Linked DNA regions of Anolis sagrei. The protein of the gene in region 1 interacts with the protein of each later gene in a biochemical or structural test. Links are inferred from orthologs where the notes say so. Each region holds a gene or a part of one and is shown in the gene's direction. Other genes may lie near its edges. The genes, in order: SH3GL2, DNM1, DNM2 and SYNJ1.

What was found.
Region 2: the proteins of SH3GL2 (region 1) and DNM1 form a complex in vitro, tested with the Homo sapiens proteins (2 studies listed by BioGRID and IntAct, with this or other methods). The link is inferred for Anolis sagrei from reciprocal best matches to the Homo sapiens genes SH3GL2 and DNM1.
Region 3: the proteins of SH3GL2 (region 1) and DNM2 interact in a biophysical measurement, tested with the Homo sapiens proteins (2 studies listed by BioGRID and IntAct, with this or other methods). The link is inferred for Anolis sagrei from reciprocal best matches to the Homo sapiens genes SH3GL2 and DNM2.
Region 4: the proteins of SH3GL2 (region 1) and SYNJ1 form a complex in vitro, tested with the Homo sapiens proteins (2 studies listed by BioGRID and IntAct, with this or other methods). The link is inferred for Anolis sagrei from reciprocal best matches to the Homo sapiens genes SH3GL2 and SYNJ1.

Annotation. Positions count from the first base shown.
Region 1 is NC_090022.1:212,488,902-212,496,116, reverse strand, and holds the start of SH3GL2 (endophilin-A1), read left to right. Parts: upstream 1-4,192; 5' UTR 4,193-4,342; coding exon 4,343-4,387; intron 4,388-7,215. UniProt on the Homo sapiens protein: Implicated in synaptic vesicle endocytosis. May recruit other proteins to membranes with high curvature. Required for BDNF-dependent dendrite outgrowth.
Region 2 is NC_090031.1:16,582,811-16,590,513, forward strand, and holds the start of DNM1 (dynamin-1), read left to right. Parts: upstream 1-4,699; 5' UTR 4,700-4,939; coding exon 4,940-5,100; intron 5,101-7,703. UniProt on the Homo sapiens protein: Catalyzes the hydrolysis of GTP and utilizes this energy to mediate vesicle scission and participates in many forms of endocytosis, such as clathrin-mediated endocytosis or synaptic vesicle endocytosis as well as rapid endocytosis (RE).
Region 3 is NC_090022.1:169,260,435-169,267,905, reverse strand, and holds the start of DNM2 (dynamin-2), read left to right. Parts: upstream 1-4,440; 5' UTR 4,441-4,558; coding exon 4,559-4,719; intron 4,720-7,471. UniProt on the Homo sapiens protein: Catalyzes the hydrolysis of GTP and utilizes this energy to mediate vesicle scission at plasma membrane during endocytosis and filament remodeling at many actin structures during organization of the actin cytoskeleton.
Region 4 is NC_090023.1:69,429,290-69,436,817, reverse strand, and holds the start of SYNJ1 (synaptojanin-1), read left to right. Parts: upstream 1-4,496; 5' UTR 4,497-4,600; intron 4,601-4,617; exon of another isoform or gene 4,618-4,745; intron 4,746-7,528. Other genes in the region: PAXBP1 (PAX3- and PAX7-binding protein 1), read left to right, coding at 1-47. UniProt on the Homo sapiens protein: Phosphatase that acts on various phosphoinositides, including phosphatidylinositol 4-phosphate, phosphatidylinositol (4,5)-bisphosphate and phosphatidylinositol (3,4,5)-trisphosphate. Has a role in clathrin-mediated endocytosis.

The DNA of each region.
Region 1 (7,215 bases):
AACCTTTAGAGGCTTCACTGAAACAAGATATAAATGGATTTTCCCTCCAGAATTCTGTGTTTTCGCTCTCGACAACATTATTTGCAGTGTGCATGTACAGTACATGCGTATGTGAAATGTCATCCTTAAAGTTTGCTTCTCTTTATTGCATTCAATGAAGTAACTCCAAAGACCCTCACAAAAGCAAACTACTTTTTGAAATGAAGCTACCCTGAAATGAAATCGTCCTGGATAGCAATATTTGGGGGGAGGTGGACAGAATATTAACAAAAATAACAAGAAGCAATGATTTATTGCATTTCAGCTGGATAAAACACTTTGTGTTTGATCAAAAATAATAAATGGTATCTTTATTGACACAACCCTAGTCCTCTTGATGGCTGCCTCTCAATTCTGGGACTCCCCATTGCCATGTAGTTGAAAGGCTAAACTGTCTTTATTCCCACAGGCTATTAAAACAGCAGGCTTTTAAAGACTGGACCAAGTGGTGTGGTGTCATTTTAAATGTACTATTTTAATAGCTTTTTAATATTTTCAATTGCCTTTTATTCGTTTATCTAGAAATTTGAAAAATTTTAATATTATGACTACTTTAATTCTGTTTTCATGGTTACTTTTGGTATGTTTTCAACTACAATGCTCTTTTAAACTATAAGCCACCTTGAGTCCTAGTTCTGGGAAGAAGACAGGATAAAAACAAATAAGTAGTCTCTGAGGGACCTTCCACACAGTCCTCTATCCCAGAATATCAAGGCAGAAAATCCCACATTATCTAAGTGTGGAGTCAGATAACAGTTCAAAGCAGATAATGTGGGATTTTATACCTTGATATTCTGGAATAGAGGACTGTGTGGAAGGGCCCTCAGTTGCTTAAACCCATGGGGATTGTTAGATACCAGAATAACGCAGTTTCTGGTTGCTTGAGGGTTTAATGAAAAATCGGCCTCTTACTATACCCCATACTATACCATTGCATAAATTCTGTATTGTCTATTATTATTATTGAAAAGCAGTAATTAAACCTCAATTAAGGGCCCTTCCACACACCCTAGATCCCAGAATATCAAGGCAGAAAATCCTACAATATCTGAGTATGGACTCAGATAACCCAGTTCAAAGCAGATATTGTGGGATTTTCTGTCTTGATATTCTGGGGGGCCTTCCATACAGCACCTTTATTGCGGTATCTACTGGAATAAAGGAGGGGCTGTCCAGACAATGTCTGGACAGTCCCAAATTAATTCCCTACAAACCAGGAAAACCTTGTTTTGTAACAAATTAATTTAGTAGTGGATTTATTCCACGCTTTCTTGGAAGGCGTGGGATAAATCCATTATTTCCAGGTCTGGACTGCAAAATACTGCAGTCCAGACAGTATTCCCACAGTTTACTGGGCTATATAAGCCCAGTAAACTGTGGGAATACCCCCCCCCCCATGCGCTTTCTGGTGTGGTTGTCCAGATGTTCCCTTGGGCGCCCTCCTCTCCTCCCCCCAAATCCCCAGACCCCTTAGAAAAGAAATAAAAACTTTTGTGCCCTCCATTACAAGAGTCAGCCAGCTCTCCCGGTGCATACAATGACATGCCAGGAGAGTGTGTGTGTTTGTGTGTGGGAGAGCTATCCCCCCCCCCCCCCCCGGTGCATTATTTCTCCTGGCATGGCGAGGCTTGTAATGGCTTTCTGGGGTGGGTGTGGACAGGCCCCCAGAAACATCCATGTTTGGGATAAAGGCCTGACTGGATCCGGCCTGGGATATAGGGCTGTGTAAAAGGGCCCTTAGACAAATAAAAACAAAACTAATGTAATATTTCCACCAAAAGCAGCCAAGCGCCTCTCCTCTAGAGTAAGAAACAGAGAACTTGCCTCCTTGCTTTGGAAAGAGTGCTGTCTTCTCTTCTCCAAGCGAAATATACTCTGCTCCCCAAGTCATTTCTCATAAGGCTTTTTTTCCTGACTTTTAATCGTCTTGGTCATTTTTATTTGGGCATCTTCCAACTTGTCAATATCCTTTTCGAATTGCGGTGCCCAGAACTGAACACAGGTGAATTTGGACCAAAGCAGAACAGAATGGTACTACAACTTCCCTTGATCTGAATGCTATGCTGTTGTTTGAGATAGCATTGCCCGTTTTTGGCTGCCACATCATACAGTTGACTCATGTTTAGACCCTTAGATCCTTTTTGCTTGTACTGTTATCAAGCCAGGTATCACCCATACAATATATGGGCACTTCATTTTTCCTGCCTACATGTAATCCCTTAAATTACTCCATGTTGAAATTCATTTTGTTAGTTTTGACTCAGCTTTCTAATCAGCCAATGACATTTTGTTGAATATGTTATTATTATTATTATTATTATTATTATTATTATTATTATTATTATTTCTTCATGCAAGGAAACATCCTGCAAGGAAAAAAACATGGAAGAGCTACACTTAAGAAATGACAAAGACAGAAAAAGATAACATATAAAGAACTTTATTTTGAGAGGCCATACATATATATAACCCTTCCCTCCTCTCTTCTAATGACATTGTACACTTCTGATAACCAAATAATATCAATTTTCAAAATAGTTATCAAATCATTTTTGTCTTTCCACAAAAAGTGTGTCAAGGGCTTCCAATCATTTGCAAATCACCCTAATGATTTTCCCTAATCAAGCCACATAATTCATCTCTAGCAGGTCATTCAGTGTAAAGGACATTTTGGATTCTTGTCCTCTGGGGTATTAGCCACCCCTTCCTAATTTGGCATTATCTGCAAATTTGCTAAGGATGACTTCTACTCCATCATCCAAGTCATTGATAAAGATGTTGAATATGAAATAGTGCTCTATTTCATATTGCTCTCCATCCCTAACTTTGTCATATGGCTTTGTACTTTATCCATCAACTCTGTCCTCACAACTTATTTGCACCTGTCTGCCCACCCGAGAACAGAAGTGTTTATTACTCAAACCACTGGTTTTTTTTTGCTTGATGGTTGTTTTATATTGTGTTGAGTTGTTGTTTGTTTTATATTGCTTTATGACTTTGTTTTATGCATTTTATTGTGCTATATTTTAACTATGTTGATCGGGTTTGTCCCCATGTAAGCCGCCCTGAGTCCCTTCGGAGAGATGGAGGCGGGATACAAAAATAAAGTTATTATTATACTGACACAAAAACACAGTATGTCACAGCAAATGAGATCTCTGTGCTGGATTTCGTATCACAAAATCACAAGTTGAACACTTCCCAAGCGTCTAGGACTGTGTGATGTATTTTTGAATGATGCGTGCAGATCCAAGTAAGGTGGCCTTTTGCAGTTGACAGATTGTGATTTTGTCAATGTTTATTGTTTCCAAATGCTGGCCGAGATCTTTTGGCACGGCACCCAGTGTGCCGATGACCACTGGGACCACCTGTACTGGTCTATGCCAGAGCCATTTCAGTTTGATTTTGAGGTCCTGTTGTTTTTCCTCCATGCAACTGTCACCTGGTATAGCAACATTGAAAATCCAAACATTTTTCCTTTCCATAATCGTGATGTCTGGTGTATTGTGTTCCAAAACTTTGTCAGTCTGGATTATTATTATTATTATTATGACCCCCAGTGATGCAGTGGATTAAAGTGCTGAGCTGCTGAACTTGCTGACGGAAAGGTCACAGGTTCAGATTTGGGGAGCAGCGTGAGCTCCCATTGTTAGCCCCAGCTTCTGCCAACTTAGCAGTTCAAAACATGTAAATTTGAGTAGATCAATAGGTACTGCTCTGGCGGGAAGATAACAGCACTCCATGCAGTCATGCTGGCCACATGACCTTGGAGGTGTCTACGGACAACACCGGCTCTTGGGCTTAATGGAGATGAGCACCAACCCCCAGAGTCGGATGTGACTGGATTTAATGTCAGGAGAAAACCTTTCTCTTTAGCTTTACCTTACATCAGGTATATCTGGACAATATGGATTTATTTCCAAACATTCCTACCAAGTTTTAGGACCAGAGCAGTCCTGGTCACTCCGGTGGAAGATACTGGGAAAAGGAACAGGAGGGAGTATAACTCTTTCCATTCTTCCACAGTCAATAAAGCTGCTTACCATGTCCTCTCATTGCCAGAGAGGCTGCTTTGAAGCTCTTTGCTTGACCCAAAAGAGAGAGGGGGGTGGCTGTCCCTTTAAGAGGCAGGGCTGCCTGTCTCTGACGTCAGGCGCGCGCTCTCTCTCTGCATCAGAGCATCCCCGCTCAAGCAGGAGGAGGGCAAGAGGGAGGCTGGCACCAGAAGGGACCTTTCCCGCTCCTCCGGCATCCCTCCATCTCTCTCTCTCTCTCTCTCGCTCTCCTTCCACCTACAGCAGAGATGTCTGTGGCGGGGCTCAAGAAGCAGTTCCACAAAGCCACTCAGGTAAGGAAGCCAAGGAGGAAGGGAAGCGGGAGGGAGAGCGGGAGGGAGGGAGGAGAAGCAGCCTTGGGGGCATCCTCCTCGGGTCAAAGGAGGGCGAAGCGCCTTCCTCCCTCTGGTCTGGACAATCTCCTCCTCCTCCTCCTCCTCCTCTCAACACACGCACTCTAGGCTCCGAGGGGCCAGGAGGGGGCGCTCTCCTTCGTAGCCGGGGAAGAGAGCCCGAGCTGGTGTGCGCGTGTGTGTTGCTAGGTTGGGAGTGCGTGCCTTGGCATTAGCCATAGATTCATGGATTGCATGGCGTTTCAAGGCGTCTTCGGAGGTGGTTTGGGCATCTCCTTCTTCTGGGCTCCCATTGGCAGCGCTTCTGGGCTTGGGGAAGGGCCTGGATGGGGGATTCTGGGAGTGACAGTCCCCCCAGAAGGCACCTTTGCTCAGCAGAGCCGGCTTGGGGGGTGGGGGTGGGGATTCTGTGATTGACAGGCGTTCAAGACAGCTTTCTTTAGCATAGCTGGAGGGACGATTCGAGGTGGTTTTGGCATCTCCTTCTTCTGGGCTCCAATTCACAGCGCTTCTGGGCTTGGGGAAGGATCTTTTGGAAGTACTGGATGGGGCATTCTGGGAGCGACAGTCCCCCAAAAGGCACCTTTGCTTAGCAAAGCTGGCTAGGGGAGAATTGTGTGATTGACAGTCCCTAAAGACAGCTTTCCTTCACATAGCGGGATGGACGATTCAGGGATTGGGTTGCTGTGAGTTTTCCAAGCTGCATGGCTATGTCCCAGAAGCATTCTTTCCTGATGTTTCGCCCACATCTATGGCAGGCATCCTCTGAGGTTGTGAGGTCTGTTGGAAACAAGGCAAGGGAGGTTGACATATCTGTGGAATAATGTCCCAGGTGAGAGAAAGGACTCTTGTCTGTTGGAGGCCAAGGTGAATTTTGCAATTGGACACCTTAGATTAGCATTGAATAGCCTTGCAGCTTCAAAGCTTGGGAGGTTGATATATATGTGGAAATTCCAGGGTGGGAGAAAGAACTGTTGCCTGTTACAATTGAGCATCTGGATTAGCATTGAATAGCCTTGCAGCTTCAAAGCTTGGGAGGTTGATTCATCTGTGGAATAATGTCCAAGGTGGGAAAAAGAACTCTTACCTGCTGGAGGCAAGTGTGAATGTTGCAGTTGATCACCCTAATTAGCATTGAATAGCCTTGCAGCTTCAAAGCCTGACTGCTTCCTGCCTGGGGGAACCCTTTGTTCGGAGGTGTTAGCTGTCTTCAGAGTGTTCTTTATTTACTGTCATGATTTTAAGAGATTGAGGGATTGACAATCCCTTTCCCCCCATTTGAACTTGATAGTAGATTGACAGTCCCAAAAAGCATTTTGGAGGGATCTGCAGATTGCAGCGTCTGGAGCAAAGAGATCAAGGGTGCATCTAATTAGGCAAGGTGTCTTGGGAGGTTGTTTTGGCATCTCCTTCTGGTCTCCAGTTGACAGCACTTCTGGGCTTGGGGAAGGGTCTTTTGGAAATGCTGGATGGGGGATTTTGGGAGTGACAGTCCCCAGAAAGGCACCTTTGCTTAGCAGAGCCGGCTTTGGGGGGGGGGGGATTCTGTGATTGACAGTCCCTAAAGACAGCTTTCCTTAGCATATCTGGAGGGGCGATACAGAGATTTACACTCAGTCCCTTTTCTCTATTATAGCTGGATAGATTGACAGTCCCAAAAGCAGTATTGGGAAGCTCCAGATTGCAACATCTGGGGCAAAGAGACCAAGAGTGGGTTGCTGTAAGTTTTTCGAGCTGTATGGCCATGTTCCAGAAGCATTCTCTCCTGACATTTCACCTGCATCTATGGCAGGCAGCCTCAGAGGGGACCTCACAACCTCTGAGGATGCCTGCCATAGATGCAGGCGAAACGTCAGGAGAGAATGCTTCTAGAACATAGCCATAGAGCCCGAAAAGCTTACAGCAACCCAGTGATTCCGGCCATGCAAGCCCTTGACAACACATTGAAGAAGGGTGCATCTTGCCTGGTAGAATGAATGCAGTGTGATCCCAATGGCTCAATGCTATAGAAGCCTGGGAGTTGTACAGGCTCTTTATTTTAGCCTCCTTTACCAAAGAAGGGCTTCTGCCTCCTCAAATCGCCATAATTGTAGTTTGGTGCCCGACTGCATGGGTTCTAGAGCATAAGGGGTTTCTTGGAGGGGTTGTCTTCGGCCAGGGAGACTCGAGAGGTGCCTCTTGCCCTTGCCTTGCTCTGGAGTCGGTCTCAGATCCGAGCAGGCAGAGCTGAAGCAGGGAAGGCACTGTGTCAGGGCAAGGCTGGCATCCCTTTGGCAGGGAGGGAGGCCTCTCCTTTCCTGCGCCAGGCTGCCTTCCGCAGGATCTGGACCGCGTCCCGGGTCGGAGACTTTTGCCGCAGAAACCCAGGGAGGGGGCACCGCATTGCCACCCCTTCCACACACAGCAAGGAGCCCGACCTGGTTACTCCCCTTTTCAGCATGTCTCTACCCTTCCTTGTGGCTTGGTTCAGCCTGGGACTCCCTTTCTCCCTCTCTCCTGCTGATCTTTCCTTGCATTGGAGCTCCCTCGCCATTGCGGCTCTTTACGGGGAGATTGGGGGGAGGGCTTCCTCCTCTCCCAAATCAGATGGAAATATTTCCAGACCTCCGCCAACTCTCTCCCTCCCCCCTTCCCAATTGTCCTGGATGATTATGTAAAAGTCCTCCTCCAATGACCTTCCTTCTAGTGATACCTACATAGATATAGATAGAGATACTCGGGAGCTGGGCTTTCCTCTCCTAAATAGTCCATTCCTTCTGGCTCTTGAG
Region 2 (7,703 bases), on another chromosome or scaffold:
GCCGAGTAGGATAGTCTTCCAGGATCAGTGTTCTGGTGAGTCCGTAGGTGACTGTGGAGCCCTGTTCTTGATCTGCATCTTCTCTCACAGTGAGGGCATTGGTTTTTCAGGTGGAAAGTGGTCTCGGTCGGGGTTGGCCTGATGCGCCTTCCTCTTAGCACATTTCTCTCTTTCGCCCTCTATTCGTGCCTCTTCAAATTATGCAGCACTGCTGGTCACAGCTGACCTCCAGCTGGAGCACTCATAGAATCATAGAATCAAAGAGTTGGAAGAGACCTCATGGGCCATCCAGTCCAACCCCCTGCCAAGAAGCAGGAATATTGCATTCAAATCACCCCTGACAAATGGCCATCCAGCCTCTGCTTAAAAGCTTCCATAGAAGGAGCCTCCACCACACTCCGGGGCAGAGAGTTCCACTGCTGAACGGCTCTCACAGTCAGGAAGTTTTTCCTAATGTTCAGATGGAATCTCCTCTCTTTTAGTTGAAGCCATTGCTCCGCGTCCTAGTCTCCAAGGAAGCAGAAAACAAGCTTGCTCCCTCCTCCTCCCTGTGGCTTCCTCTCACATATTTATACATGGCTATCATATCTCCTCTCAGCCTCCTCTTCTTCAGGCTAAACATGCCCAGTTCCCTAAGCCGCTCCTCATAGGGCTTGTTCTAGGACCAGGGCTTCCCAGTTCTCAGGCGCTTGCTTCATCCATGTTCAACATATACACAAATGGCCAGCCATTTGCCAGAAGGGACAGAGAGTTTCCTCTATGCTGATGATCGCGCCATCACCGCTCAAACAGGGAGCTTTGAAATGGTTGAACAGGAAAGGGAAAAAATGCACATCACAAGTGCTGAACCTGACTCAGCACATAGAAGATGGTTTTTGAAAGGCAGCAGATTACAGAACCTGTCTCCATATACCTGTCAGTAGCCTATGATACTGTAAATCATAGCCTTCTCCTATCACAAAGGATGGCCACCTCACTCGCTTCATAGGAAATCTACTACAAAACAAGAGCTTTTATGTTGAGTTCCAGGGCCAGAGAAGAAGATGGCAAGTGTGCTTGCTTCATCCATGTTCAGCATTTACACAAATGACCAGCCACTTGCCAGAAGGGAGAGAAAATTTCATCTATGCTGACGATCGTGCCATCACCTCTCAAGCAGGGAGCTTTGAAATGACTAAACAGAAGCTCTCTGAAGCTTTAGGTGCTCTTACATTTAAACAAATGACCAGACACTTCCAGAAGGGACAGAGAGTTTCATCTATGCTGACGATCGTGCCATCACCACTCACGGAGGGAGCTTTGAAATGGTTGAAGAGAAGCTCCCCAAAGCTTGGAGTGCTCCTATTGCCAATTACATCTAAAATGCAGATATGTGCTTTTCACCTTCAGTTCAGGAGAGGCTTATTTTGCATAGAATTATGGAAAAAATAGACCCATTTATGATCTCACATCAAGCTATTTTAGGAAAGGCAAAAACTGCACATCACAAGTGCTGAACCTGACTCAACACATAGAAGATGGTTTTGAAAGGCATCAGATTACAGAACCTGTCTTCATAGACCTGTCAGTAGCCTAAGGCACTGTAAATCATGGCCTTTTCCTGAGAAAAAACATATAATATCACAAGGGATGACCACCTCACCCGCTTCATAGGAAATCTGCTACAAAACAGGAGCTTTTTTGTTGAGTTCCAGGGCCAAAGAAGCAGAAGAACAGCCTGGCTCAGGGGAGCCTCAATCCATGGCTCCATCCATGTTCAACATATACACAAATGACCAGCCACTTGCCAGAAGGGTCAGAGAGTGTAATCTATGCTGATGATCGTGCCATCACCGCCCAAGCAGTGCTTTGAAATTGTTGAACAAAAGCTCTCTGAAGCTTTAGATGCGTTGACTGCCTATTTCAGGGAAAACTAGCTAATTCTTAATCCATCTAAAATGCAGACATGTGCTTTTCACCTTAAGGACAGACAAGGATCTTGAGGTCTAAGGATGAGCTAGGAAGGAATTGCACGGAAGCACTCCCAGAGTGATCTGGGAGTCACTCTGGACCATGCTTTGACCTACAAGAAGCACTGCTTGCCTATCAAGCAAAAAGTGGGTGCTAGAAATAATATTGTATGAAAGCTGGCACAACCTTGGGATCACAACCAGACACAGTTAAGACACCTGCCCTTGAGCTTTGCTACTCTGCTGCTGAGTAGTCATGCCCAGTGTGGAACACATCTCCCCACAAAGTGGATGTGGACGCCCAACACCACTGGAGAAAATATACTGTTTAGCCAATATTGCACCACCTGACATCTGTCGGGAAGTAGCAGCCAGCAATGAAATGACCAAGGCATTGTCATCTCTGGCCCATCCTCTGTTCAGATATCAGTCAGCATCCCAATGCCTTAAATCAACTTCCTGAGATCAAGAGAGATACTCGCAGAAACACCTCAGCAAGCAAGAGTCCAAAAGTGGCAGGCTAAAACCCGAAACCTCAATCCATGGCTGATAGTGGATGAGAGGCTGGGTTGTTGTAGGTTTTTCAGGCTGTATGGCCATGTTCTAGAAGCATTCTCTCCTGACGTTTTGCCTGCATCTGTGGCAAGCATCCTCAGAGGTTGTGAGGATGAGAGGCTCCTTCCTGGGTACATGGAGGACGGGGCGACCTGAAAAGTGCTGAACAGACTGCTCTCTGGCACCAGATATTAGTTTCACACCTGGTGGAGGTCATTGGTGGTGGTTCACGGGTGGGGGGTTATTTAAAAACAAAAGGAAAAAGAGCACTTCTTCCTGTTGTCGGCATCCCTGCAAAAGTGCTCAGGTTGACTCCTGATCTGAGATGCTTCCCTCCTGCCGTGAGATGATGCACGAACCAAACAACAACAGCCAGGTTGCACACATTTCCTTGTGGCAACACAGAGCCCCATCCCCGTGGTTGCTATGTCAACATACATTTGCGTCTCTCTCTTCTGAAAAGCCGTTGCAAAACAAGACAAAGCTGTGGCTGCTGCATTTTGGTGCAAATGGGATCCTGAAGGAGAGCTGAAAGGCACATCTGAGCCTTTCGGAATACTGCTGGAACAGGGCCATGCAGCCCAAAAGACTTGCAGCAACCCAACAAGATGAATGGAGAGACCAGGCATTATTTCACATGCAAACATACTTATATATACTTGCCTCACTGCCAATAAACCTATGAGGGTGCAAAACATCAGGAGAGAATGCTACTGGAACAGAGCCATGCAGCCCAAAAAACTTAGAGCAACCCAATGAGGTGTTTTCTGTTGGTCATGGGAGTCCTGTGTGCTACGTTTGGTTCAATTCCATCATTTATGTGGTTTAGAATGCTCTTTGATTGTAGGTGAACTATAAATCTCAGCAACTACAACTCGCAAATGACAAAATCAAAAACTTTTGAGTGAAGGACATACATTAGGTTGTTAGGTGTGTGCTGTCCAAATTTGGTGTCAATTGGCCCACTGCTTTTTGAGTTCTGTTAATATCACAAACAAACATTACATTTTTATTTATATAGATTACTAACTGTACACGCCACGCGTTGCTGTGGCCAACCTTCCCTCCCTCTTTCTCTCCTTCATTTCTTCTCTCCCTCTTTCCTTCCTTCCCTCTTTTTCTTTCCCTTCTTCTTTCTTCCTTCTCTACCTATTTCTTTTCTTGCTTCCTTTGCTCTTTGGTTCTATCCCTACTTGTCTCTTTCCTTCCTTCCTTCCTTCCCTCCCTCCCCTTTTCTCTCTTTTGTTCCTTCTCTCCTTCATTCCCTCTTTCACTTATTTCATTTTTGCCCTCCTTCTCTCCACCCTTCCTTCCCTTCTTTCTTTCCTTCTTTATCTCCTTCCCTCTGCCTTTCCCTCTTTCTCTCCCTCCCTCTTTCTTTCCTTCTCTCCTTCCCTCTTTCTCCCCCTTTCTCTCCTTCCTTCCTTCTCTACCCTTCTTTCTTTCCTTCTTTCTCTCCTTCCCTCCTTCTTTCCCTCCTCTCCTTCCTTCCTTCTCTACCTTTCTCTCCTTCCTTCCTTCTTTCCCTTCTCTCCCTTCTTCTCCCCTTCCCTCCTTCTCTACCCTTCTTTCTTTCCTTCTTTCTCTCCTTCCCTCCTCCTTCTTTCCCTTCTTCTCTCCCTCCTTCTCTCACCTTCTTTCTTTCCTTCCTTCCCTCCTTCTTTCCTTCCTTCCTTCTTTCTTTCTGTGTATGTTTTGTGTGTGTGTATGCACATGTGTGTATATGTGTGTGTTTGTATATATATATGTGGTTTTGCACATGAGTTGTAATGTTTTCTTTTGGTTTTTTGGCTTTTTAAGTCCCTACCTCTGTGTTTTTCAGTGTTTTTATGAGTGATGGTCACTCATTGGCCTGAGAGGTGTCTTGTGTCCAAATCTGGTGACATTCCCCCAGTGGTTTTTGAGTTCTCTTAATCCCACAAATAAGCATTATATTTTTATTTATATAGATTATTATGATTATTATGATTATTATTCTAACCCAAGGCCCTTCCACACAGTCCTATATAACCCAGCATATCCAAGGCAGAAAAATCCCACATGTATCTGCTTTGAACTGGGTCTTCCAAACATGGCCTAGGATGGGAGGATGCTAACCTTGGGCTGCATCCCCCTCTGCCTATTGAACTACATTTCCCAGGAAGCGCTTGGAGGCGCTGCGGAGGGCGCCCTCTGGCGGCGGGAGGCGGGACAGCGCGCTGTCTTTGCGTTGGGAGCCAGTCAAAGCAGTCAGTGCTGCAGCGGGAGGAGGAGGAGGAGGAGGCAAGCCTATGGATTAAGCGGGAGGAGAGAGAGGGAGAGAGAGAGACGGGGAAGGGAGCCCTTGTTGCAGGCCTGGGGGAGCCGGCCCGGGCTTGAGCCTCCCCAGCAGACTCTCTTGTATTGGGACCAGTATTTGGCCAGCTCCCTGGCGGGGCTGCTAAGCGGGCGCAGCCATGGGCAACCGGGGGATGGAGGACCTCATTCCCTTGGTCAACCGGCTCCAGGACGCCTTCTCCGCCATCGGGCAGAATGCCAACCTGGACCTGCCCCAGATTGCCGTGGTTGGCGGGCAGAGCGCCGGGAAGAGCTCCGTCCTGGAGAATTTCGTCGGCAGGTCAGTCTCTCTATGCATCTCTCTCTCTATTTATGTGTATGGCAATCTCTCTCTATCTCTATCTGAGCCTGCTTTCTCCATGCAGAATGGCTCCCTCTAGTGGCAGTGCAAGGGATGGCGGAGAGGATGAATGCAAGGCTTCCATCCCGGCTCCATCCATCCATTGCAGATGCTCCCTGGTGCCAGCACCAACCCTAGGAGGCAGGCCTGTGATTGACAGCCGGGGTTGCCTAGCAACCCCACCCCACCCTCTCCCTCCTGCCTTCCCTCCCCAAGCACAGGCTCAAACAGAGGCATTGCTTTTCTGCAAATCTCCAGGGTAATAATAATAATAATAATAATAATAATAATAGTAAAAATAATAATTCAGAAATTAAATTGGGAATAAATAATAATAATAATAGTTGGATTTTAATTCAGAAATTAAACTGGGAATAAATAATGATGATAATGATAATTGGATTTTAATTCAGAAATTAAGTTCTGAATAAATAATGATAATAATTGGATTTTAATTCAGAAATTAAATTGGGAATAGATAATAATAATAATAATAATAATAATAATAATAGGATTGTAATTCAGAAATTAAATTGGGAATAAATAATGATGATGATGATAATTGGATTTTAATTCAGAAATTAAATTGGGAATAGATAATAATGACGATAATTGGATTTAAATTCAGAAATTAAATTGGGAATAAATAATAATAGGATTATAATTCAGAAATTAAATTGGGAATAATAATCATCATCATTACTTGGATTTTAGTTCTGAAATTCATCATCATCAGGATTTTAAGTCAGAAATTAAATTGGGAAAAATAATAATCATCATAATCATTTGGAGTTTAATTCAGAAATTAAATTAGGAATAATAATCATCATCATCATTTGGATTTTAATTCAGATATTCATCATCATCATCAGGATTTTAATTCAGAAATTAATTTGGGAATAAATAATAATCATCATTTGGATTTTAATTTAGAAATTAAATTGGGAATAATCATCATTATTTGGATTTTACTTCAGAAATTCATCATCATCATCAGGATTTTAATTCAGAAATTAAATTGGGAATAATAATAAATAAAATAATAATAATAGGATTTTAATTCAGAAATTAAATTGGGAATAATAATAAATAAAATAATAATAATAGGATTTTAATTCAGAAATTAAATTGGGAATAATAATAAATAAAATAATAATAATAGGATTTTAATTCAGAAATTAAATTGGGAATAATAATATATAAAATAATAATAATTGGATTTTAATTCTGAAATTAAATTGGAAATAATAATAATAATAATTTGGATTTGAATTCAGAAATTACATTGGGAATAATAATAATAATAATTCTATTTGGATTTGAATTCAGAAATTAAAATGGTAATAATAGTAAAAATAAGCAGCAGCCATTCTAGGTTTGGGGAGAAGCATGCCTGTTTTTCCTTCTGGAGGGAGGGTGGAGGAGAAGAAATACACACACACATAAAAAATTAATAATAATAATAATAATTTATTAATAGACCTCCCTATCTCTCCAAGGGAACTCAGGGCAGCTTCCAGACAAAAGAAAGAAAGAAACGAAAACATTCAATACCTTGGTAGAAAAGATCCACAAAAATCAAGCAGTAAAAAAATAATAATTAAAAATTAATAAGTGCTCAGCCAAAAATATATATAATTAATAATTGGATAAACATAATGATCTAAACAGATACACGAAGACCATAAAAACCTCAATGACAAGAATGCACAAAAGTATGTAAATTATTTAAAATTTAATAAATAAATTATATATATATATGTTAATAAATAAATAAATAATATATATATATATATATATATATGTATGTATATGTGTGTGTGTGTGTGTGTATATATATATATACACACACACACACATTATTTATTTATTAACTGCCTTTTCTTTACCCTGCTCTATCTCAACCTTGGAGGAGCTTCCAAATTGGCAATCATTCAATGCTGCATTAAATATTAAAAATACAAATACAAAATCATAAATACAATGGCCATCAAAACAATGGCATGTCAATACAATGCATAGACTTGGAAGCATCGTACGTAGACCTGGCATCATAATCCAGAAGCTGATCCAAATTCTGTTCATATATGTATACATACACACACACACACATATATCTTTTGGGGTTGGAGATGGAAGGACGGGGCGGTGGTTGTGTTGTGTTGTGCTCTGCCTCCCCATCCTCAAGGCAAGGAGAGATCGAATGGTGTTAATCCCAAATCATCCTGGGATTGCTGAGCTGAGTCTGGGCAACATTCCCCTCCCATTGCTTCCTCTTCCCCTTCCTTCTGTTGCTCCTGGCCTTGGGAAGTTAACCTTGTTGGCTAGGAAGAGAGGATGTGAAGGAAACAGCTCCGTCTGCAAGCAAAGCCCAGTCCTCAACCCCCATCGTTACGTAATCTCAAGAGAGGAGAGAAATATCAGAAGGGTAAAAGGGGGGCAATGCAGGCAGAAGCAAATCTTCATCATTTTCGATTGGGCCATTGCAATTCCTTCCAGGAGGATGCAACGTCAATGCAACGTTGCTCTTCTTGCAATGATGC
Region 3 (7,471 bases), about 43 Mb from region 1:
TGGACCAGCCCACGCCAGAGCTCCCTGTCGGCCGTCACCACCCCCAGCTCCTTCAAGGTCAGTCCAGTCACTTCAAGGATGCCATCCATCCATCTTGCCCTTGGTCGGCCCGTCTTCCTTTTACCTTCCACTTTCCCCAGCATAATTGTCTTCTCCAGGCTTTGCTGTCTCCTCATGATGTGGCCAAAGTACTTCAACTTTGTCTCTAGTATCCTTCCCTCCAATGAGCAGTCGGGCTTTATTTCCTGGAGGATGGACTGGTTGGATCTTCTTGCAGTCCAAGGCACTCTCAGCACTTTCCTCCAACACCACAGCTCAAAAGCATCTATCTTCCTTCGCTCAGCCTTCCCTAAGGTCCAGCTCTCAAAGTTACCGTATATTCCGGCATATAAGACGACTCGGCGTATAAGACGACCTCCAACTTTTCCAGTTAAAATGTAGAGTTAAGACGACTGCCATGCATAAGACTACACCCACGTATAAGACGACCCCTGACTTTTGAGAAGATTTTCTTGGGTTAAAAAGTAGTCTTATACGCCAGAATATACTGTACAATTAATTGATACTTTTTATTGGGGGGATTAGTTACAATGTTAGGAAGGGGAAGAAAGCGAAACTAACAAGAAGGTTTCTGAATTGCAGCTGCTGCTGTGGCCATGTTCATGCAGGTTGGCCCAAGCGGGGCAATGGAGAACTGAGGAACTCCCTGCTGCAGGTCAGATCAGCTTGAAGGCAGGGAGTTTGACCTCAATCTTAGCCTCCTGAATATGAAATGAATATGCAATACCACCATGACGTTTAGAGGTTCAGCTGATGAAAGTAGACATACAGGTGCATTAACTGCCACTGCTCAAACACATATGTGAAGCCCAGCTATTTCATGAGGCTCCCCCCACTTCTGTGCTTGGGCAGCTAGGAGTTCTGTTTTCATAGTGGCAGATTATATTTTCTTGGTTTTAAAAATGTAATCTTCTGGTTTGAAAGGTGAGATGGAAATTGAGTAAATAAATAAACAGCTGGAAGGAAACACAAAGAGATATGTTGGTTTAGCATGACCTCTCCAGAGCTATCAGTATTTCACTGAAGGAAAGCAGCTTTGGTGCTAAACCAGTGGTGTATGCAGTGGACCGAAAAGGGTCAATATATTCATGCTGAAATGCAGACATGACAAAAGCACACCAGAGAATAAATATTCAACTTATTCTGGGTGTGGTTACACTCTCCCTGGAAACTTGTGTTTGCAGCTCGCCCGTACTCCTGAACCCAACCTTGAGCCTGGATATATAGGTTTCAAAGGTGATCTGGAGTACATTTGTATAATAAAACTAGTGCACCTGCTGTGCCTGCTCCTGAAAATGACTGATCATGTCACTGTGGTTACACGTATTTACTCGAGTCTAATGTGCCATCGAATTTTACCTGCACCTCAATGTTCAAAACCTTAAAACTAAAAAAAGTATTTGCTGGTGTCTGTAATATCCAGTAACAAAAGGTGCACTCTTTGTAATTTGGTCAAAAAAATAGTGGCTGCCTGCTTTGAATTCCTCCTTTAAGAACAAAAGTGTTAAGACACCAAAGCTTTCAGCAATGGAAAAGAAAACCTTGGGGTGCATCTGTGCTGTAGAATGAATCCTTGGTTCAATGTTTTGGAGTCATGGGGGCTGTACTTACTTACTTAGGCGATCCCTCGTTTCCTGAGGAGGATTGTCTTCCAATATTCTTGTGGGTCCGTATGTGGCTGTAGAGCCCTATTCTTGTTCTGCATCTTCTCCCGCAGTGAGGGCACTGGTTTCCAGGTGGAAGGCGGTCTCGGTCAGGGTTGGCTTGATGCTCCTTCCTCTTGGCACGCTTTTCCCTTTCGCCCTCCATTCATGCCTCTTCAAATTCTGCAGCACTGCTGGTCACAGCTGACCTCCAGCTGGAGCGGTCAAGGGCCAGGGCTTCCCAGTTCTCAGTGTTTACGCCGGAGTTTTTAAGGTTGGCTTTTAGCCCATATTTAAATCTCTTTTCCTGCCCACCAACATTCCGTTTTCCATTCTTGAATTCGGAGTAGAGCAACTGCTTTGGGAGATGGTGGTCGGGCATCCGGACAATGTGGCCGGTCCAGCAGAGTTGGTGGCGGAGGACCATCGCTTCAATGCTGGTGGTCTTTGCTTCTTCCAGCACGCTGACGTTTGTCCGCCTGTCTTCCCAACGGCTGCTCTGGCCACAGCGAAGACAGAAGGGAGCAGAAGACACTTCCATCTTGTCTTTACTAATAATATAATAATAGTATATTGTATATACATATAATATTTATAATATTATAATGTAATACAATATAATACTAGTAATAATAATTCAATATTATAATTATAATTATATATTTACATTACATGTAATATTACTAATAATATTACAATATAATGGTATAGTGCAATATAGTAATATATACTGATATTGTACTATGCTAATAATATAATATATTGTATGAAAATATATATTGTAAGCCACTCTGAGTCCCCTTCAGGGTGAGAAGGGCGGCATATAAAAGCCGTAAATAAATAAATAAATACATTTGCAGGATTTTCCGGAGGCAGCACTGATGGAATCGTTCCAGGAGTTGCATGTGACATCTGTAGACAGATGTCCCGGTCTTCAAACACTCTCTGCTTCATTGGGGAAAATGCTGCGCTCGCAGAGCTCAGGTGGTGTTGTATTTCGGTGTCGATGTTGGCTTTGGTGGAGAGGTGGCTGCCAAGGTAGCGGAAATGATCAACATTTTCGAATGTTACACCATTAAGCTGTATCACTGGCTTTGGAGAGGGGTTGGCTGGTGTCTGCTGGAACAGCACAGTTTTACAAAGTCTTGAGCCTTCTCTGCCAAAAGATGCTGGTGACTCACCAACTACAAATCCCAGCATTGCATAGCATTTAACTCAGGCAATTAAATTAGAGATCATGTCCCTCAAATAGGAGTTCCAGGTGCTTCGGAAGTAGCTTCCCATTTTGCTTTGGCTCAGCACTAAAATTACTGTATAACACAAAGCTAATGTGCACCTTAATTTTGGGAAGGTAATATAGCCCAAAAAGGTGAGCATTAGATTTGAGTAAATATGATATATCCTGTTTGAATTACAAGTTCTCTCTTCTCCTGTCTCCTGTGCTAAGCTAATAACATAATATAATATATTGTATATACATATAATATTTATAATATACTAGCCGCCCCTTGCCACGCGTTGCTGTGGCCCACATGGCTGTTCTGTGTGGGAGTTTTGGCCCAATTCTATCATTGGTGGGGTTCAGAATGCTCTGCGATTGTATGTGAACTACAAATCCCAGGAACTACATCTCCCAAATGTCAAGATTCTATTTTCCCCAAACTCCACCAGTGTTCACATTTGGGCATATTGAGTTTTCGTGCCCAGTTTGGTCCAGATCCATCATTGTTTGAGTCCACAGTGATCTCTGGATGTAGATGAACCACAACTCCAAAACCAAAGGACACTGCCCACCAAACCCTTCCAGTATTTTCTGTTTGTCGTGGGAGAACTGTGTGCCAAGTTTGGTTCAGTTCCATCGTTGGCGGGGTTCAGAATGCTCTTTGATTGTAAGTGAACTACAAATCCCAGGAACTACAATGTCAAGATTCTATTTTCCCCAAACTCCACCAGTGTTCACATTTGGGCATATTGAGTACTCGTGTAGAGTTTGGTCCAGATCCATCATTGTTTGAGTCCACAGTGATCTCTGGATGTAGGTGAACTACAACTCCAAAACCAAAGGACACTGCCCACCAAACCCTTCCAGTATTTTCTGTTTGTCGTGGGAGAACTGTGTGCCAAGTTTGGTTCAGTTCCATCGTTGGCGCGGTACAGAATGCTCTTTGATTGTAGGTGAACTATAAATCCCAGCAACTACAACTCCTAAATGACAACATCATTTTTTGAGTGAAGAACATACATTGGACTGTTAGGTGTATTGTGTCCAAATTTGGTGTCTTTCGTCCAGTGGTTTTTGAGTTCAGCATTACATTCGCCTTTCCAAAAAGTTAACTTTACTGAAGCGATTGGCTGCTCGCTCTGAGTGACAGAAACATTGGCCAATAGAAAGCGAAAAAGGCGCAGCGGGCGGGGCTCGCCGCTTTGATAGATAACTCGTTGTTTGAAGAGGAGAGCAAGGGTTACGAATGGGGAGCAGCGCCCGAGAGAAAGGGGCGGGGTTTAATGCAGTTTGACCACTTTCCGGAGGCGGCTATTGGCTGGGTGAGCCGCAGAGGGAGCGCCGAATGACAGGCGAGTTCGTCCAATTAGAACGCCAACCGGAAATGAGGCGGGCCGATGCAACAGCGCCGTATCAGCGCGGGAGTCCGCCAGATCCTCGTTCCCTATTGGTTACCGCTACGGAGTGATGGCTGCGCTGACCAATGGGAAGGGAGTCGGGGCGGTAGGAGGCGCGAGCGGGGCGTCGCTGAGGCCGGATGAGGAGACTCCGAGGGGGAAGTTTGGTGCTTGTTGCCGGGGGCTGAGCGAGGAAGCGGAGGAGCGCCCTCCCCGCTTTCTTTTAGGCCGTCGCCATGGGCAACCGAGGGATGGAGGAGCTGATCCCGCTTGTTAACAAGCTGCAGGATGCCTTCAGCTCCATCGGGCAGAGCTGCCACCTCGACCTGCCGCAGATCGCCGTCGTCGGCGGACAGAGCGCGGGCAAGAGCTCCGTCCTGGAGAACTTCGTAGGCCGGTGAGTGGGAAAGGGCTCTGAGCAGAATGCGGCGCAGTTTACGGAAATGCCTGCCGAGAATGCCGCGCACGCGCGCCTGCTGCGGAGCTGGGCACACGCACCGTCTGTGAATAGCCCCCTCCGCCGTAGTGAGGGCGTCTCAGTGCGCCAGTTGCGTCAGCTGCGTAAGGGGCGCGCGAGGCAGGCGGGCAGGGAGGGGCGCGCGCGGGAGAAGCAAGCTTTGTGGGGATGCTCTCCCGGCCTCTGGCTCGTCCTCGCGCCCTGTGGGTCTGTGAGTGTGTGGAATGGGCGGGCGAGGATTACAGCAACCTTTGTGCCTCCCTCAGCAGCAGGTGCAGTTTGGGCCTCCTCCTCATTCGACGCCACTCTGCTTAAACTCCCCCACACACAATAATGACACTTGTCATTGCATATTCACAGCACAACAACAACATTCTTTTCTTGATATCTTGCTTTTAGGCCTGTTTCTGAGGTTATTTTGTTTATTTATTTTATTTCCAGCATTTCTACGCTGTCTTTCTCAACCCCCGAAGGGGGACTCGGGACGGCTTACATTTGGCACAATTTGATGTCATTATTTATTTTATTTTTTTTATTTCGAGGTTTTATATACCGACCCTTTCACCTTCAAAGAGGGATTTGGACCGGTTCACAACATGTGTTAACATACAAAGAATATACAATAACAACACAATGGCACTTCATAACACGATTAAAATATCAGCACCATACACATTATTTATTTATTTATTTATTATTTAAACTTATATGCCGCCACTCCCCTGGGGCTCGGAGCAGCTTACAAGAATAGCTAAAATCTAACAAAGTTTAAAACCAATTTAAAACAATTTAAAAACAACAGTATCAAACATTAAAAGCCTGTCGGAACAGGTATGTCTTACATGCCCTGCGGAAAGCTGATAAGTCCCGCAAGGCACGGGCTTCAGGTGGCAGAGTATTCCAGAGTGATGGTGCCACTGCTGTAAAGGCTCTGCGTCTGGTTGCTGTTAGACGCAAGGTCTTGACACTGGGGACTTCCAATAGATCTTGGTCCTCAGAACGGAGGGATCTCTGGGGTTGGTAGGGGGTGAGACGATCCCTCAGATACATTGGCCCCAGACCATGCAAGGCCTTAAAGGTGAGTACCATCACTTTGAAAGTGATCCGGTGCTCAATTGGTAACCAATGCAGCTGTAGTAAGATTGGTGTTATGTGGCATCTCATCGGAATTCCCGCAAGAAGCCGAGCAGCTGCATTTTGTACCAACTTGAGCTTCCGAATCACCGACAGAGGGAGGCCAATGTAGAGGGCGTTACAGTAGTCCAGTCTTGAGATCACCGATTAAAACATTATCATCACAGTTAAAAGAGCCAAATCGTCCGACACCATCACAATACCATTCATCATCCTCCTTTCATGTGAGCAAAGAATTAAATCAGTTGTCAAATGCCGCGTTCCATAACCAGATCTTTGTTAGTTTCCTGAACGTCATGAGGGAGGGGGCAGTTCTGATCTCTAATGGCAGGGAGTTCCAAAGTCGAGGGGCCACCATCGAGAAGACCCTGTTCCTCGTCCCCACCAGCCGTGCTTGTGCAGGCAGTGGGACCGAGAGCAGGGCCCCTCCAGACGATCTTAGTGGTCTTGATGGTTCGTAGGGGAGAATACGTTCGGAGAGGTAAACAGGGCCGGAGTTGTTTAGGGCTTTATAGGTTAACACCAGCACTTTGAATTGTGCTCGGAAGCTAATCGGCAGCCAGTGGAGCTGGTGTAACAGTGGAGTGGTGTGCTCCCTGTACCCAGCACCCGTTAGTAATCTGGCTGCCGTGCGTTGTACTTGCTGCAGCTTCCGGGCAGTCTTCAGAGGCAACCCCACGTAGAGAGCGTTGCAGTAATCTAAGCGGGATGTAACCAAAGTGTGTACTACCGTGGCCAAGTCAGCCTTCCCAAGGTACGTTATATTATTAAATATAACAAAGCAATATAACCACATTTAAAACAATAAATAGAACATTAATTTAAACAATAGAATCATAGAATCAAAGAGTTGGAAGAGACCTCATGGGCCATCCAGTCCAACCCCCTGCCAAGAAGCAGGAATATTGCATTCAAAGCACCCCTGACAGATGGCCATCCAGCCTCTGTTTAAAAGCTTCCTAAGAAGGAGCCTCCACCACACTCCGGGGCAGAGAGTTCCACTGCTGAATGGCTCTCACAGTCAGGAAGTTCTTCCTCGTATTCAGATGGAATCTCCTTTCTTGTAGTTGAAAGCCATTGTTCTAGTCTCCAAGGAAGCAGAAAACAAGCTTGCTCCCTCCTCCCTGTGGCTTCCCCTCACATATTTATACATGGCTATCATATCTCCTCTCAGCCTTCTCTTCTTCAGGCTAAACATGCCCAGCTCCTTAAGCCGCTCCTCATAGGGTTTGTTCTCCAGACCCTTGATCATTTTAGTCGCTCTCCTCTGGACACATTCCAGCTTGTCAATATCTCTCTTCAATTGTGGTGCCCAGAATTGGACACAATATTCCAGGTGTGGTCTAACCAAAGCAGAATAGAGGGGTAGCATGACTTCCCTGGATCTAGACACTATGCTCCTATTGATGCAGGCCAAAATCCCATTGGCTTTTTTTGCCGCCACATCACATTGTTGGCTCATGTTTAACTTGTTGTCCACGAGGACTCCAAGATCTTTTTCACACATACTGCTCTTGAGCCAGGCGTCCCCCATTTTGTATCTTTGCATTTAGTTTTT
Region 4 (7,528 bases), on another chromosome or scaffold:
TGGCTAATGATCATAATGTGAAAGAGTTAAAAAGTGAGGGGAAATAAAGTTTTGCCATGTAATTCTGGGATATAAAAATCATTCCTGAAGTGTAATTTTGTACATATGTAAAGTTTTATTAAACTGTAAACTATGGATTGTTTTTAATACAAAATGCATTCTTATATACAGCATCTATACTAGCATTGATGTCTCTGAGAAAATGAAAAGGAAGCCAGGAAAATTTTCACCTCCATCTTGTTTACAAAGACTTTTATACTCCATTGTCGCCATCTATTCAGTTGAATGACCTTCCATTAACAGGAAATTCCTTAGTATAAAGCTCATTAACAGATCATCTGCAAATAGTATAGCCCTCAAATTTGTGTTTCAGATAATGGAAGATTTCAAAGTAAGATTTCAGTTGGTGGAATTTGGTCCAAAATATATGTATATGGTGTGACCCTGCTCAGAGTAAAGAAATTTCCAAAACAATATCCTTGGTCTCTGTTTGTGTATTGATGATAATAACTAAAAATTAACAATTGCAATTACATAACAGTCCTTGGGGGTTCACAGTAAAATGCATTTCCTTGTAGTGAAAGTACTGTATATTCCGGGGTACTAGACGACTTTTTAGGCATGTAAAACCTTATAAAATTTGCGGAGTCTACTACGCCGGGTATAAAATTAATAATAAAATTACCGGTAGAGCCTCTTGGTGTGGAGGGCCTTGGCCACGGGCTCCCCTCCGCCTCCGCCTCCTCCTCCTCCTCCACTGCCTTGGCTCATGGCAGGCTCCCCGTCCTTCCTCTCTTCCTGGCTGCCGCGCTGGTCAGGCCGCACTCCTTCTTTCTGGTCAGGCCTCGCGAGAAGCGTCTCTTCTCCTGTGAGACATCTCGCTGGAGAAGAGGTGCTTCTTGCGAGGCCTGGCCAGGAAGGAGAGCGGCCTGAGCAGAAGGGCCTCCCGCGCTGCTCAGGCCGCTCTCCTTCCTGGCCAGGTCTCGCAAGAAGCACCTCTTCACCCGCGAGACAACTTTGTCTCGCAGGAGAAGAGGCGCTTCTCGCAAGGCTTGACGGGGCTGGGAGGCAGAGATGCCATGGCGGCAGGAAGAAGGAGAGCGGTCTGAGCAGCGCGGGAGGCCCTTCTGGAGGTGGCGCAGGAAGCAGCCCAGGGGCAACCACACACCAGGCGTAGAGGACAGAAACCACCTGGCGTAGAGGACAGAAAATGCGGAGTCGTCTTAAACGGTGAGCATATCCCCAACTCTCTATTTTGTGTGCTAAAGTTGGGGTGTCGTCTTATAGCCCCAGTTGTGTAAAACCCCAGAATATACAGTATTTCACTATGTAAACAGAATTTTTATTCTGAAAAGAACATTGCTAAATTAATGTATGTTTGATAATCACTAACTTCCATTGGAAATATTTTCTCATGTTACCTTGATTTAGCAGATTTCTATCCTAACTATTCATATACTTGATGTCAGCCCTTCCTGATTCATTCTTGCCGAAGCATTTACTTTCTATTTAGGCTGCCATGTGATTTTTAAAAAGCCGTTCTCAAGCACAATGAGGTGGTAAATAAGGTCCATGCCATACAAGGTAAAGCTGAGTGACAGTGCTGCACTCTTGTGTTAGCACTTTGGCCTATGTCCTAAACTAGTATAAAGATCGGCTCACTGTTGTTCAAAGCTGACGAAGCAATTTAAAATCAAGCACTGCTTATTTTCAAACTTAATTCCATAGGTTTTGATTTTAAGACGAGTGGTGCTTAAATTTATGTCAAGTCTCCCAGACAGTCTTTTTTAAAAACTGCTCATTTTAAAGCTGGTAATCTTGAGTGAAAACCTATTATAGTCCTCTACAGATTTGCTTGGCGATCAGTCTTACATATTTAATTAGCAGCCCCAGGCAACCAACATCAATTAAATTCTTTATTATAGGACAGGCACCAGCTGTTGGGAATTGTGGGAGCTGAAGTTCAAAACACCTGGAGGCCCAAAGATTGCCCATTCCTGTTAAAGGAACAAGGGTTCTCATACAGATTAGGAGCTCTATTCTAATAATATATAGAGCTCCACTTATTTGCACATCTGTTTTAAGAATATACTGTCTATATAAAACATTTATGCTATACAGAAAAAAAAGTTACAACTTCTTTTATATTCTCTTAAAACAAATTCTGGGTACAAAAGTCAGGGAAGAGATTCTTAATTGAAAACATCCTAGTGTTTTATGTTAAGAGAATGAAATAGTACTGATTTATGAAAGCATTTACATTATTTATGAAATTATTCTACTGTTTGGATATAAGTGAGAAAGTGACAAGTAGCTGTACCCGGTCTACTTTTGGTTTGCATACTTTTGCTATTTCAATTTCTAAAAAGGTACAGGTACAAAAGTCCTGTACTTTGGGTTTCTAAAACCTAATGAGTCATTACTCTAAACTTGATATCTGTCTGCATGCAGACAACTGGTTAGATCTAATTTTGGCATAACCTTTCCACGTTAAGTAACTTGTGTCACCCAAAAATAGAACAAGACAGTGGCGGTAGTCCTAAAGCTCTTAGAAAGAATAGGCCAGAAAGCAGTGCTGGCAGAAATTAAATATCGGAGTACAATGACTGATGTAGAGAGGTGTCATAGAGTTAGTATGTGAAGCCTTCCTACTCTGACCTTCAGTTTGTGCACAATGTTAAAAGCATTAAGTCAAACCATTAAAAAAGAAACATCACAGGATTATGTAGTGTGACAGATCTGTCACAAGTAATTATCCAGCAGCAATAAAACATTTTGTTAATATACAGGCAATAGACTTTTTTTCTTCATGCCTGTAATCACTACCTACTTCCAGTGGTCCTGGGGGCCACATACTCCTCCCAAGACCTTGAATGGCAATCCATGCTAAAATGTGGGGTTTTCCGATTCAAGCCACATAGAGTGGGGCTTTGGTATCTGTTCAGTTTGATTCCAGGACCTGTGTTATGAATTCATCAATGGTCAAGTCATATTATTTACAATGGCATAATAAAATGATGTCCCTTAAATAGAATAACAAAATCAAGGCCTGCCTTTTGAAAACATAAGAAATAATGTAAATGCTATGGAATGATGGATTAAATCCTAGTAAAGGTAAAGGTTTCCCCTTGACATTAAGTCTAGTCGGGGGTGGTGCTCATCTCCATTATTAAGCCAAAGAGCTGGTGTTGTCTGTAGACACCTCCAAGGTCATGTGGCTGGTATGACTGCATGGAGCACCATTACCTTCCCGCAGAAGCTGTACCTATTGATTTACTCACATTTGCATGTTTTTGAACTGCTGGGTTGGCAGAAGCTGGAGCTAACAACAGGAGCTCACCCCATCTGTGAGTTTGAACCACTGACTTTCTGATCAGCAAGTTCAGCAGTTTAACTCGCTGTGAAACCACATAAGAAATATACATGATTAAATCCATTGATACAGAGGGCCTACTTTACCCTCCCACTTTTTTTTCCGAAGTAGGCTGAAAATCACTGTTTTAAAGCACTTTTAAAAGCCCCAAACAGTCCAGTAACTTCTGGAATAGGGTGCATTTATTTCTGGATGTAGGTGAACTACAGCTCCAAAACTCAAGGTCAATGCCCACCAAACCCTTCCAGTATTTTCTGTTGGTCATGGGTGTCTGGTGCCAAGTTTGGTTCAATTCCATTATTGATGGAGTTCAGAATGTTCTTTGATTGTAAGTTAACTATAAATCCCAGCAACTGCAACTCTGAAATGACAAAGTATTCATATTTGGGCGTATCAGATATTTGTACCAAATTTGGTCCCAGTTATTGAAAATACATACTGCATATCAGATATTTATATTACGATTCATAAGAGTAGCAAAATTACAGCTATGAAATTGCAACGAAAATATTTTGATGGTTGGGGGTCACTACAATATGAGGAACTGTATTAAGGGGTCGCTGCATTAGGAAGGTTGAGAATCACTGGCTTAGAGGAAGGCGAAATGTGGACAAAAAAATGATGCTGCGTTTAAAAAAAAACAGCCAATTTGCTGAGTCAGCAGGTCTTCTGAAAGGAAACGGATGCGCCTCCGGAGGGTAGTGTTTTCCAGTTAGTCATGTTCCAAAACAATCCATCTTGCCTCCTGACAGCAAGAAGGGATTTCAGGCCAAACCACAAGCACACACACCAAGGTCAAGCACGGTCTGTTTTTGCTGCCTGAGCCTCTTGAGAAAGCCACAACTAGATTGACTATAAGGCAGGCATGGGCCAACTTGGGCCTTCCCTCCAGGTGTTTGGACTTCAACTCCCACCATTCCTCACAGCCTCAGGCCTTTTCCTTTTCCCCCTCAGCCGCTTAAGCTGTGAGGAATGGTGGGAGTTGAAGTCCAAACACCTGGAGGGAAGGCCCAAGTTGGCCCACACCTGCTCTAAAGTAGACGGTGAAGGAAGACTCTCCTTCCCTGGAGACAGGGCGCCCCTCCCTCCCTGTCCTCGCGCACCTCCCACAACTTCCGGTCTGGAGGGGAGGGGGCGGGGCAGTGCGGAAGCGGCGGCCCCGCCGGAGAGGAAGTGAGGCCAGCGCCTCAGGCAGCGGCTGCACGAAGAGGCTCCCTGAGGTGGCCGGTAAGGGGAGGACTCCGCATCTCTTCCGAGGCGCCCGTTCTGCTTCAGTTCTTATTTGGGAGGAACTCGGGCCCCTTCCTGGGCCGGGGGAGCCGTTAGAGAGGGAATCCCAAGATGGAGGAGTCGTGAGCGCCGGCCTGTCACGGCAAGGAGGGATGGGGAGAGGGAAGGAGGGAGGCCTTCGGTATATGGGATTATCAGCGTCGCCTTGGCAAAAGCTTATCGCCTGCGTGGAAAGCCGGGCGTCCACCGCTGGCTATGCTCTCTGAGGAAACGGGGAGATGGGGAGCCTTGGGGGACGGTCTTGGGGAAAGGGAAGGGAAGGGTCCCCATCTCCAGAAAGACCCCGCAGGCCAGGCCTCGCTTCGGGAACCCAGGAAGGCCCCCTTTTCCCCCAATGGGGGGAGAAGCCTGCCAGTTTGGTGTTTCTGTGTATGGCTCCCAAGATGCTGTTTTCCTTGCTCTCAAATTCTGAGGCAGTTCCCAGCTGGGCTTCCATTACTGCTGTCATTAGTAATCATGTTTTCTTTGGCCTGCGGTTCATTAAGAAATCGATTTCCGTCTCAACACCGAGGCGAGGCGGCGTCTCTGACATGGAATTGCGACGGCTCTTCAAAACACGTCTTTTAAAATCTCGCTGGATTTTAAAAGAATCAGATGTTTATATCCAGATGTTAATATCTAGTTATTGTGCAATGTATAAACACACATTGTTGGAGGGGGTTGAAATTGCTACTTAGCCCTGGCTCTGCCTTTAGGCAAAGTGAGGCACAGGAGATTCTTAGGACCCTTCCACACAGCCATATAACCCAGAATATCAAAGCAGAAAATCCCACATTATCTGAGTGTGGACTCGGGGCCCTTCCACACAGCCCTAGATCCCAGACTATCAAGGCAGAAAATCCCACATTTTCTGAGTGTGGATTCAGGGCCCTTCCACACAGCCCTATATCCCAAAATATCAAGGGAGAAAATCCCACAATATCTCCTTTGAACTAAGGGCCATTCCACACAGCCCCATGTCCCAGAATATCAAGGCAGAAAATTCCACATTATCTGAGAGTGGACTCGGGACCCTTCCACACCCCTAGATCCCAGAATATCAAGGCAGAAAATCCCATATTATCTGAGTGTGGATTCAGGGCCCCTCCACACAGCCCTAGATCCCAAAATATCAAGGGAGAAAATCCCACAATATCTGCTTTGAACTAAGGGCCATTCCACACAGCCCTATATCCCAGAATATCTAGACAGAAAATCCCACATTGTCTAAGTGTGGACTCAGATAACCTAGTCCACACTCAAATAATGTGGGATTTTCTGCCTTGATATTCTGGGATCTAGGGCTGCGTGGAAGGGCCCGCAGATAACCCAGGGCCCTTCCACAAAGCCCTATATCCCAGAATATCAAGGCAGAAAATCCCACATTATCTGAGTGTGGACACAGATAACCCAGTTCAAAGCAGATACTGTGGGATTTTCTGCATTGATATTCTGTGAAATAGGGCTGTGTGGAAAGTCCCCGAGTGCCCTTCCAGACAGGCCCTTTATCCCAGGATCTGATCCCAGGTTTTCTGTTTTTCTCAGATTACCTGGCAGTGCGGACACATATAATCCAGTTTAAAGCAGTAAACCAATAACCGGATCTTGGGATAAAGGGCCTGGCTTGAAGGGGCCTGCATTATCTGAGGGCCCTTCCACACAGCCCTATATCCCAGAATATCAAGGCAGAAAATTTCACAATATCTGCTTTTATCTGGGTTATCTGAATCCACACTTAGATAATGTGGGATTTTCTGCCTTAATATTCTGGGATACAGGGTTGTGTGAAAGGCCCTGAGTCCACCCTGCCATTTATTCCATTCAAAGCAGATAGTGTGGGATTTTATTCAGCTTGTGTGGAAGGGGCCATTGTTATCTGGGACTCTCAAGCAACCAGCAAAACACTGAGGAAAATAATACTGCATCCACAAGGCTGTTTTTATAATACAGGCAGTCTCCAAGTTATGGACATGACTGGGTTCTGTAGGTTTGCTCTTAAGTTGAATTTGTAAGTAAGTTAGAACATTTTCAGTGTAACTCCAGCCAAATATATAGCTTTAAATAGCATAGAGAATGGTTAACACCCCTGTGGTGTTTGTTTTGCTGTGTGTTCCACTGTTCAGAACATTTCATCTCACTTTCTGTCCCTGTGGGATTTGGATTTTGAAAAAAATTGGCTTGTTGTGGAAACAAGGATTGGTGAAGAAGTTTCAGTGGAGACTCCTTTTCCCTATGATAAATAATAATAATAGCAATATACTTTATTTATCTTCTGCTCTATCTCCCCGAGGAGATTCAGAATAGATTATGACATACACAGATAGACACCTCCTGGTTGTGTTGCCGGTATGACTGCATGGCCGCCTTTTATTACCTTCCCGCCAAAGTGTTACCTATTGATCTACTCACATTTGCATGTTTTCGAACTGCTAGGTTGGAAGGAGCTAGGGCTAACAGCGGGAGCTCACCCAAACCTACAGCTTCAAACTGCTAACCTTTGGGTCAGCAGATTCAGCAGTTCAATGGTTTAACCCGTTGCGCCATCAGGACCCTTACATCAACTCTCCCATGAGTGAATTTCCCTTCCTAGGGGTAGATTTCTCTCCCTTCCTGTTCTCTCAGCCTCATTCTTAACTAGGAGTCATTTGTAAGTCAGATGTTTGAAACTTGGAATCTTGACTGTACAGTAAAACTATGTTACATTAAGTTTGTCTTTATTTGTCTTTATTTATTTTTAATTACCGTGTTTCAATATAGATATCAAGTTAACACAGAGTTTATGTTATATTATGGGGTATAGATTAGTTACGCCTATGTTTAATAGTAACTGTCAACCAACCAGAAACTACATTTATCTGGTATTTATCAGTCCCCTTGGGTGTCGGC